Linked DNA regions of Caenorhabditis elegans. The protein of the gene in region 1 purifies or fractionates together with the protein of each later gene. This does not show direct contact. Each region holds a gene or a part of one and is shown on either strand. Other genes may lie near its edges.

Region 1 (5,463 bases):
AAATTCAAAAAACGTCATTAAAACTATCAAAAAGCTATTAAAAAATTTCAGATTGTCTACTTTTGCCCACGCATATTTTTTAAAAAGGTGTCATTAAAAACAAATAAACCTGGAGCCTTACTTCCTCTTGTTTTCACCGTTTTTTTCTATTTAAAATGCACCGAAATTATCATCTACTATCATTTTAACATGCTCTGCAAAATTTTCATCCCATCTCTTCTTCTCCTTTTCACGACTTCAACTGCATTTGACAAGGAGCTTGGTAAAAAGTGTTACATTTCGTGTGTCAACTCTACAAGTATCGCTGAATGGGAAACATGCGAAAAAACGTGTTTTGGGCAAGGAGGTAATGGTTTTGTTCAGGCATTCTTAACAATTTATGAAAATTACAGATGATGAGGATAAAGCTTATATAAATTGTTATGTCAATTGTGTCGATCTGTACTTCGCTCCGGATGGCAAGTTGATAGATTTTAACAACTTTCTAAAATGCGCCGAAGAATGCCCAGGAGCTACTGATCACTGAGGATCAAATGTTTCATTTGAATAAATGTTTAAATTTAATTTTTTTAAATGAATATTTTTCACGTTATAACTTTTTAGGTTAGTTTTTTTAACAGGTCTCTATCTCAAAAATATCATTTAAATTGATTTCTGAATTGTTCTAGTTAAGTGCAAGTAACCTGCGCACAAAATTTACTACGATTGCTCGCAATTGCAACTTTCCAAGCTTAATATTTGGCTCAATTTACCGAATAAAACCCTAAATAAATTTTAAAAAATTTCAATTTTTTCACTTTTTTTTCAATTTTTCAAAAAAATGCAAATGGTTTTTTTTGGCAATTGGCGATTTTCAATTTTTTTTGTCAGAAAAACATAGATAAACTATTTATTTTATCGGAAATCTCCAAAAATGAGGCCTGGTCTAGTCAGATATTTGAATTCTTTCCGCAACATTTTTTTTTGAAAAATTCATAAAAATCGTTTAAAAAATGTTCTCATCGTTATATTTGGGCATTGTGACCCAGTTTCTATTATATACATATGTGTGTAGATCAAAATCCCCACGGAATTTAATTTGGCGGTATGCGACATTTTTCGGCAGTTTGATAATTCCGCAGTTCCCCAAACTCAAAATTTTCGGCAATCGAGTTCCAAAACTTTTGAAATAAAAATGTTTAAAATGAGCTAAAACTACATTTCACGGTAGTGTTTTTAAAAACCAGTTGCAACAATTGATTCAAAAAATGTTTGGTTCCCTATCCTCACAAACAGAACACACTAATACCTTTTTTGAAATTGAAGAGAAATTTCAAAATTGCGTCTCTTCGTTTTACGAGCCTCTTTTGAATCTCCTCGGAAACCTTTCCACTCTTCACCGAATCTATTTTTCCATTTTTTTTTTGCCATTTCAAAACAATTTTCTGCATGATTCTTCAATTCATTATTTGCTTTCTAATCATCATCGCTTCTATCCTAGTCTGTCTACATCTGATTTGGCTGCTCTGGCCTGAATTCTTCTGGACCACCATTGACAAGTTCCGTGGACGGGGTCGAGCCGTGTATTGTGAGCAAATCTTTCGAGACTTTGTTCAGTACATTATTTCAGCTAATATTGACGAGCCTGCTCTGTCGGGACATGATAGCAGTCTAGTTATCACAATTCATACTAATCAATTGTCTATCTAGGTCTGAAGTAGTTTGTACTTGAAAAACAAAAAACCCCTTAGCAACCAGAAGATACAAATACTAGCATTTTTCTTTTCCTATTTTTTCTCGTTTCTCATATATTTTTTTCTGTTTTTTTTTCTTAATTTTCTTGATTCATTTTTCATTCCACTAATTCAACTCATGAGATTTATATTTTTTGCTATTATTTTTTTCGAAGCCGTCTTGGCGTTTGATGTGCCATTATTTTCGACATCGAGCAGCAAAGGAAAAAGAAATGGCAGTATAGTTCAAGACCCAGTGGCTCCAATTTAGTAAGTTAAAAATTTTTGAAAAAAAAATTGGCGGAAAACTTTCTGATGTAAAGTTTTTGACGGGAGTTTCAAATTTTCAAAGAACATTTTGAGAGAAAATAGAAAATTTTTTGGCGGGAAATTTAAATTTTCTGGAAAAAAATTGACAGGAATCTCTAATTTTTCTGTATAAAATCTTGCGGAATGTTCAAATTTTCAAAAAAATCTTGACTTGTGAATCAAATTTTCTGAGAAAAAATTTTTGGCGGGAAATTTAAATTTTCTGAGAAAATGTTAAAGGCGGGAAAATGAGACTTTCTCAGAAAAAAGTTGGCCTGGAATTTTAAATTTTCTTTTTTTCCAGTAAATTTGGCATCACTTATTACTGGGCGGGACACTACAAAAGTAAACATGGCATTCAGAATAAGTGCGTTTTCCTGAAAAGTGATCCAGACTGGCCATTTCCCGAAAGCACTTTCTCCAATGGAACGGCAGTGTATGGAGTGGAATTCGGTTGCAAAAAAGATGATCTATGCAGAAAGTATCACTGTGATCGACCATTTCAAACTGGATTCATTTGGTGAGACCCAACTCCATTTAAATCTGTGAACTAACAATTCCAGGTGCGCATTTCTCATTCTGTCATCTGTTATTTCGGTTGGAATCATTGTTCGCTACATTATTATGCAACGGCAAAATGAACTGAGACCCACGCGAGACACTGAACTAGGATCGATTTATATTCCAGTTCTTATGATTAATGGGGATGTCAGTAGAGCTGAGGAAACTCCAAGGGAGGGATAATTCATTTTTGATTTGGTTCGATTTTTTCTTGTAATGAAACATGATTTAGTAGTTGTATAAATGCTCTTTTTTGCAACAAGAAAATATTGTTTGATTGGCAATTTATAGGAGATTTGAAATTTGAAGTTTAAGCTCCTGCAAATCAATATAAAAAACGTACGGATACTCATTTGATGGAATTGTACCAAAAATCATTTGATACACTTGATTTTTCAGGGATGGGTGGCAAACGATATTTTTAGGAAAACGGCAAATTTGACAAACTTGCCCATTGCCGAGTTGCCGAATTTGTTAAAAAACTGCAGTTGCCCAAAATTTTTGGCAATTTGTTTTTGGAATTTTTAAACTGCGAAATTTAACCATTTTTAAAAATTAGTAAAAAGTCAAGAAATTCGACAAAAATATCAAATTAAAACGGAGGAGAATATGCCAAAAAGTCCTCCTGATTAAGTGCGATTTCTTTTTAATTTTGAACTTTGGACTCCTAGGCGCGTGTTAAAAAAAACTATAAATTATTTATTTTTATGTTTTTCTCCCAACTCCCACTTCAAATTTTTGTTTTACATGCATATGTACATCCTCCGAAAATTCTGAAAATCCAATTTATTGTACTACCTATAAAAAAATTGAATCTCCCGTGGCAACCATGCTCATCTCTCATTTTTCCTTTTCCTCTTCACAAATACATTCTTTGAGAATTTTCGCATGCCTATACCTTGAAATACCCTGGAAATTAAAAAAGAATGAACGTTATTATTTTTCTAGTTTTTGCCATTTCTATGGTAACTGGGTTGAAACCTGTTACACCAACAAGCGTGCCATTACACTATAATTTGCCATTCGAGATTTTCAAGAATTACAGAGTAGTTCAGGAGCCCAGCCATCCTATTTTGTAAGTTTTGGAAAAATCGGCATATCGGCAACTTGCCGGTTTCTCAATTTGTCGGAGATTTTCAATTTCGGCAAATTGCCGATTTGCCGGAAATTTCAATTCCGACAATTTGCTGATTTGCCGGAACAAGTCGTTTGTCGCCTTCCGACTACACGTGTCACCAATTTGCCTATAGCCTACTTGAATATTTTTCTGATGCAAGTAGTCATAGGTATAGGCACAAAGCAGGCACCGTTTCTCAGAATGGAACTACTTTTGAGTAATGTGCTAAGGTTTTCAAAAAAATTTAAACTATTGAATTGTGTGCCAAAATACCAAAACATTTAAATATCCTTTTCAGCTACCATGGAATTGCATTTTACTGGTCTGGAGCCTACATCCCATCTCCAGAAAGACCTGAAACTTGTATAATTCTTGCTTCCCATCCCGAATGGCCTTTTGATGGAAACGTCTTCCAAAATGGTACAATACCAACTGCTGCTCTCTTTGGATGTCATGAACGGTCAATGTGCAGTGGGACTAGATGCATCGAGCCGTATACTCACTTTAAGTATGTATCACATTTTGGTTCCAGACTATAAAATCGATTTCAGTGTGGTCACCTACACCCTTCTTGGCATCGTGTTATTCCTTCTTGTTTGCCTTCTTGGCGGAGAGCCAAAAAACAAGGAAAAGAGCAAACGGCGTGTTTCAAGGCATTCAACGCTGGATAACATCTTTTTGCCATGTGATCATCAAATCAGAGTTGCGGTTCCACCGGAATACACTCATTAGATGCAAAGATCGAAGGAAGAACAATATTTTAACGTTTTAATATTTATCACAGTATTTGGCAAAATTGAATTTTTTTTATAAAACAGCAGAAAAATAATGAAAACATTCTAACTCGATAGCGGGAATTTAATTTTTCAGAAAATTTTTCAACAATATTTATTTTTTTTAATTTTGGCGGAGATTAAAATTTCGCAAAAATGTTAGGTTGTAATTCAAATTTTTCAAAACAATGTTGGTGTGAATACAATTGTATACGTATGTATGTATTAAATTTATTAGAGATTCAAATATTTGAAGAAAAATGTTGGCGGAAATTCATATTACTGTTTACACACCTGTAGCGAGAATTCAAATTATCAGAAAAGGTTTGAATTGTTTTTGAAATTTAGTTTTAATTGTTAATCTTAAGAATTATCACCAAAAAAAACAGTCGAAAAACATTCTCTGGGACTATTTTGGTACCAAAATCTAGGACATTAAAAATTATAATTTTGCTCCCGATGAACGTTCGAGTGCAAACTACAACCACAATCATAAAATACGAGGTTTTTGCAAATTTTTCGCTGAATAACATAAAATGCATATTATAAAAGATTCTCAAAAACGGCAATTCGTGAAAAAAATGATATTTCCTCTAGTATTGTTCTTTATTGGTTTCGCTGCTGCCGGGAATTATGGATACTCGTCCAGTGAGTTTTGGGAAAGTGTCTTGAGAAGCTTAGTTAGTTCAGTTTTCAGGCGGTAATGGAGGAGGAAGACCAAGACCTGGAAACGGTGGTGGTGGAGGAGGAGTCCGCCCTTCAAACGTGAGCGCGGGGGAAATTTGCTCTAGCTCAAAATTTGTGATTCCAGAGTGGCTGCGACGCTGGGTGGCGTCGCTTCAACCGTCCATCTGGCGGATGGTGTGTCAAAGTATTCGGCGCACGCATGAACCAAGCAGATGCTCAGATCCAATGCCAATCTCATGGGGCCACACTTTCGGGCCTGCAAAACTCGGAGGAGGCTCAACAAATCTCCAGTGAGCCACTCTGT
Region 2 (6,139 bases), 3.9 Mb from region 1:
GCCCTCGAAGCCGCCCACAAAGGATGGGGAGTCTCGTGTATCATCGGAGTCGCCGGAGCCGGCCAAGAGATCGCCACCCGTCCATTCCAACTTGTCACCGGGCGCACGTGGAAGGGAACCGCATTCGGCGGATGGAAATCCGTGGAAAGTGTGCCGAGACTCGTCGACGACTACATGAACAAGAAGCTGCTCATCGATGAATTCATTACTCATCGCTGGAACATTGACGATATCAATACGGCGTTCGATGTTCTTCACAAGGGAGAGAGTCTGCGGTCGGTGCTGGCGTTCGAGAAAATATAACTTCACCTTATTGCGTTCAATTTTTGTTTCCACCTACTACTACGAATACGTTGTAAATCCAAATATATTGTTCTTTAATGATACATTTGCTTCCAGTATGTAATTTTTTCTGGTCAAATCTTTTTTACTAACTTTTGAAGATATTGAAATAAAGTTTGTTTGTATTTATTTTGACTAGGGCTTCCATTGCAGTGAGACGCGAAATGCAAGCTTTGAATTTGTTGCCAGGAAAAATACTGTGATTTCACAAATTTTTGCCATGCCTTCTTAAAGGCGCACGTATTTATTCAGATGGGTCTCGGCGCGCAAAAAAGTTCATGGTAGTTTTTTAGAAACACTTCCTTTTCAAAATGCAAATGCTTCGTTTGTGGTGAAAAAATACATGGTGTATGTTACAATTGTCACGAGGCAAGGTTTTTCAGGCTGTTGAAGGGATTGAAGCATTGGGGTCAAGGGTGTCGGTTTTTCGATTTTTCCAGAAAATCGAAAAATCGAAAAATGACACCCTTGAGTGGGGTTAGGAGGGGATATGGTCGAGGTACTGTAGGATTACTGTAGGATTACTGTAGTTTTGTAAAAATTGACTTTTCGCATTTTGAAAAGATATTGGTTTGAGGTTAGTAGGGAGATATGGTTGGGTACTGTAGTATTATAGTTTCAGAAAGTGAGTTCCTAGAATTTTCTAGAAATTCAGGAAATATCTAGAATTTTTTCAATCAGTAAGCTACTAGAACTTTCTTGGAGGTCCGCAAAACCCCAGGAAAAAAGTCTAACTGTAAAAAAAGCTTAGTACTTTACATTTTATTGAAACTGTTATAACATTTAGGCCAAATATACCACAGACTTTTAGAGCAAAATCCTTAATCGGAAATAAAAACGGAAAGTTCAATATATAAGTTCAGTATACTATCAGGTCTATCATTTCTAATAGAGACTACATCAAGGGTGAGCGGCAATTGACGATCGTCATTCCAAATTTTCTGCAATTCGGCAATTGCCGAAATTGTTCGATTTCAGCCCACATATCTGTTTTATAGCGTTCTTCAGTTATTTTTTTAATTCGATTTTCGAAATTGTGTCCCATTACAATTGTTCTATTTTCCCACGAATGACATATATAATCCTCTGTACATCACGACAAGATATATCGATTTTATCTAAACGCTGAAACCAACTGCACAGTAAACGAATGAGACAACCTGTACATACATCCTAATTACTGACATGGTACTGCCGCCTCATTTAAACGTTTTCTTCCTTCTTTGTTTTTATTTCGAAATGTATTCTATAGACACTATTTTAGTTTTGAAAATTTATAATTTACGCATTTCTCCGCATTTTTCCTTACCTTCTTTTTTTCAAACTATATTCCAAATAGGTAAAAAATGTTGTAAGGTGACCTGCACTAGGTCAAAAGAAGCTATAGTAAACAAATCTTTCTGATGTCCAGTATATATAAAATTTCAATTTTTTCTAATGGTATTTGGAATTTGAATAGTTGTGTAGTAGCTTAATCCCAAAACATTTTAATGGGTTATGATAAAACATAATAAGTAGTCTTGCATCTCTTTATTACAGTCACCGAATTTTATCTTTTCAAAGCCAACAATAACCTGTACTTTTATTATAACAAAAAATTCAGAATCAGTTTACAAATCTACAATTGGAAATGATAAGACCGCTGCAAGACATAATTATCGAGAAAATTGCAAAGCTAATAGACAATGGTGAGAGTTTCTTTTCTGGTCTTTCTGGTCTTCTGGTTAGGAATACGTGACAATCTCATGACGTCACGTATTTATTCTTTAGTAATTACGCTGCTAAATGAGTGTGACGTCACATGAATGGAAATGCGGTTGACTAATGGTCGGAAATTTGTAAAAGGAATGTTTTGAAAATATATTCTCTATTGTTTATTTTGCGTTGGTGACAGTTTGAACAAATGTGATGTTTGCTCATCGGCCGACTGGAAATTAGAACTCAGGTTGAAAACCCTAACCTCACAAGTGAAGTCGAAAAACTTAACCCCGTAATTTTTTTGTATACCATAGTAATTTTTCGATCCAAAAAATTTAGCTGCCCCGGTCTAGGTTCAACAAAGTTATGACGTTTTGAAAGTGCCGAAAAAAATTCCTTGACCAAACCCTAGCGAAAAAAACGTTCAAATTTTCAAAAAAAAAAGTTTTTCTAAAAATTGATAAAAACTATTGTAGCTTATCCAAAAATGTGAAAAACATATATCATGTACGTTTTTTCTCCCCACGGGCAAAAAACCACACTGCTTGATCTACATATCTAGAGAAAAATTCCAAAAAGGGTTTTCTTGAGAGTTATGAGCTAAAACTTGCATGGCATATGCTTTTCACTGTTTTAAATCATTTACACATATTTTTTTCTCTTTTCAGAAAAAAAATTATTTTTTAAAAAGGTGTTTTAGCCACTTTCAAAACGTCATAACTTTGCTGAACCTGGACCGGGGCAGCTAAATTTTTTGGAGGGATCATTATTTTCACTCTTTCATCGAAAAATTACTATGGCATGCCAAAGTCCGGGGTTAAGTTTTTCGACTTCCCTTGACAGTGCGAAAACCACATCAGCACCAGGGCTGTGCGGCAACTGGCAACCGAGTTGCCGGTTGCCGAAAAGTTGCCGAAGTTTCGGCAACCAAGAGTTGCCGATTGCCGAAATTTTTTTTAATCGGCAACTTCGGCAATTGCCGGTTGCCGAAAATTTTGAGGTTCGGCAACTTCGGCAATTGCCGGTTGCCGAAAACTTTGGAGTTCGGCAACTTCGGCAATTGCCGAACTTTTTTCGGCAACTTCGGCAACTGCCGATATCATTGTCAAACATTCTGTAGCTCAGAAAAAGCATTCGGAGAGCCTGAAAAATGCTAATATTTCGCCGTAAACGAGAAAACGACCATTATTTTTTTTCCAAAACGCTCAAAACTATGTATTCAACAAAAAAAACTTTAAAACTTGGTTGCCGGTTGCCGAAAAGTTGCCGAAAAGTTGACGAAAATTCGGCAATCGAAAGTTGCCGGTTGCCGAAAATTTTTGGGTCCGGCAACTTCGGCAATTGCCGGTTGCCGAAAATTTTTGGGTTCGGCAACTTCGGCAATTGCCGGTTGCCGAAAATTTTTGGGTTCGGCAACTTCGGCAATTGCCGGTTGCCGAAAATTTTTGGGTTCGGCAACTTCGGCAATTGCCGGTTGCCGAAAATTTTTGGGTTCGGCAACTTCGGCAATTGCCGGTTGCCGAAAATTTTTGGGTTCGGCAACTTCGGCAATGGCCGGTTGCCGAAAATCCCGGTTGCCGCACAGCCCTGATCAGCACTCGAGAAAATCACTATGTTCTACTGCTCGAACTCGAGTGATTTTTCACCAGTGCTGGTGTGGTTTCAAATCACTCGAGGACTAAACTTCTCTAATCAGACTTTTCTATAAATGGTTCGAAAGAGGGGGCTGGCTAAGGGATGATTGTTGTGGAGTTATTTTTCCAATTTTGGGTGAATATGAAATAAGAAGTACAGAAAGTTTATCAAAAAACAATCATTCAGACAACTTCAACATGCTTGTTCGACCTCTGGATAGAACAGCCAGCGACAAAATGTTCAGTGAGTTGATGAAATTAAAATTCGGACTTTGCGAAGAGGCACTGACTCGATTTGGACATTTTTTCTGCTTGAAGAAAGTCGACTTATTCAATTACCACGTTAGCAAAGAACTTGTTGAAGCGATTAGATGTCAAAATTTGGAGTCACTTAGCCTCGGAAACTTAGATTGGGTCAAACGTGGCAGGAGATTCATGAACGGTAAGATTGCAATAGTTGAGGTGAAAGAAACATAATTTGCAGGTTACGATATAGTACGTTTTTTGGAAAGTTTTCTCAACGAAGAATCTCGTAATGTACTTCACAGTTTAGAAATCACGATGGAGAGTCCATTTGCCAAGGAATGGCCAGCAAAGGTTACATTTTTGTATTTCATTGTTGTCTGTTTTCCAAATTTTACAGTAAGCGCCACAAAAACCACAGTTTCTGGTTTTTTCGACAACCAACAGCATTAATGCATTTTAAACTTTGAATAATTGTGAGCCTTTAATAGTGGAGTAATGTGATCAAGCCTGCACTGGCAGAAAATGGGTCATAGTAACCAGATATAACAATAATAACATTATTCTCCCTTCAATTTTGAACAAAAATAGCAAACACCTGAATTGATTTTAAATTACTGATTATCATCTCAAATCAAATTTTTTAAAAACATTTTTTACTTGATCACTACGAGTCAACCTTAAAATAAAGAAAAAGGCCACGTTTTTATTAACGTAAATGTTCCAAAAAATGCGGGGTATAAAATGAATTGTACCAAAAGTTGTTTTTGAATTAATTTTTCTACAAACACATTGTATACTAAATTGAGAAAAGCCGCACATAACTCTCATATCAATGTTGTTTGATGACACCCTCCGTTCAAACCAGCAATTTTTGATTTGAGATGATAGTGAGTAATTTATATTCAATTCAGCTGTGTGCTATTTTTTCAAAATTGAAGTTAGATTAGTGTTTTAACTGGTTAGAAAGTGCAAAACTAATAGAAGCTTCAACACTATAGGCTTCGTATATATGTTAATACCCTATTTTATTAAAAGGCATATGGTAGACTCCGTCCTTATCTAGGTTTTTTTAAGCCACACTAAAACAGGATTCCAAAGGGAACAGGATTCAGTGGGCGGAGACAAAAATTAATAGGTGGAGTAGCGCCAGTGGGAAAATTATTAAAAACCACTCCTTTGGTCCAATAATGACCAAATATCATGCTTAAACTTTTCAAAAAAATTTTGAAATTGTTTTATTTACTGTCAAAAAGGGGCAATTTCTCCGATTTTGCCACTCATCATTTTGGAAGTCGACCAAAAAAAAAATTTCGATATTTTTTATGTTTTAACTTTATTTAAATTATTTGTATTAAAACACTGTAGGGGTCGAAACATGCGACATTTCTTTAAGTTTTCTCAAAATCTCATACTTTGCAAGATGTTGGGAATTTTCCAAAACTTTGACCGGATTATTATGATACTTGGTTGTTTTGGATCATTATAAGTGCATTTAGACAAAATACCCACTGGCGCTACTCCACCTTTAAGAAAATAAGAAATAACTTCACACTTTTTTTCAACATGAATAACTGTCTTTTTTTTTGGAAACGTTTGTAAATTTTTGTTCAGATAAATAATATGCTGCCCGCTTTGAAATGCTTTGCAATCAATGGACAAGTGAATGACGATGAGTTTTCCCATCTTTGCATTGGTTTTTCCAATTTACGTGTGTTGGATATTAGTAATACAAACATCAGAAACCTTTCCGGAATGAAGATGCTAGTTAATTTACAAATACTTTCAATGAGAAACTTGGACATTAACCAAACATCTGATTTAATAGAACTATTTTCATTAACCAAGTTAACCGTTTTGGATGTATCGCAAGATAAGTGAGTTTACGGGTTTTGATGGAATAATTAACAACTTGGTTTGCTGGGGAGTATTGCTTATTTTAGATGAGGTCTAATACCAGTTTAGATGCGTTTTGAAAATTTCGAATTTTGCTGCGTAACCATGGTGTGGATTTTTTAACAAAAATTCAAAGAAAAACATGTTCCAAGAATTAATTCATTTTCAACCATAGCGTGAAATGTGGTATTTTTTTAAATGTTCAAAGCTTTTCTCCGTTTTGTTTCAGCCCTTTTCCAGATTTGTCTCAGTTTTTTTTTAAATTTTCTCAATAAATTATCAAAGATGACATATATTGCAGCACAGCTAACCAATCAAAAGTTGGT

The links. Proteins that work in one complex are often made in the same cells at the same time.
Region 2: the proteins of R02F11.9 (region 1) and H24K24.2 fractionate together in Caenorhabditis elegans (co-fractionation; one large-scale study listed by BioGRID). This does not show direct contact.

What each region holds. Positions count from the first base shown.
Region 1 is NC_003283.11:4,785,615-4,791,077, forward strand, and holds R02F11.9 (CX domain-containing protein), read left to right. Parts: upstream 1-1,851; coding exon 1,852-1,982; intron 1,983-2,325; coding exon 2,326-2,541; intron 2,542-2,584; coding exon 2,585-2,765; 3' UTR 2,766-2,834; downstream 2,835-5,463. Other genes in the region: Y60C6A.3 (uncharacterized protein), read left to right, coding at 190-346, 393-526; R02F11.10 (CX domain-containing protein), read left to right, coding at 3,509-3,657, 3,998-4,207, 4,251-4,431; R02F11.12 (C-type lectin domain-containing protein), read left to right, coding at 5,054-5,120, 5,170-5,237, 5,284-5,449.
Region 2 is NC_003283.11:915,845-921,983, forward strand, and holds the start of H24K24.2 (Protein NLRC3), read left to right. Parts: upstream 1-1,943; 5' UTR 1,944-1,972; coding exon 1,973-2,030; intron 2,031-3,860; exon of another isoform or gene 3,861-3,861; coding exon 3,862-4,116; intron 4,117-4,158; coding exon 4,159-4,271; intron 4,272-5,531; coding exon 5,532-5,794; intron 5,795-6,139. Other genes in the region: adh-5 (Alcohol dehydrogenase class-3), read left to right, coding at 1-303.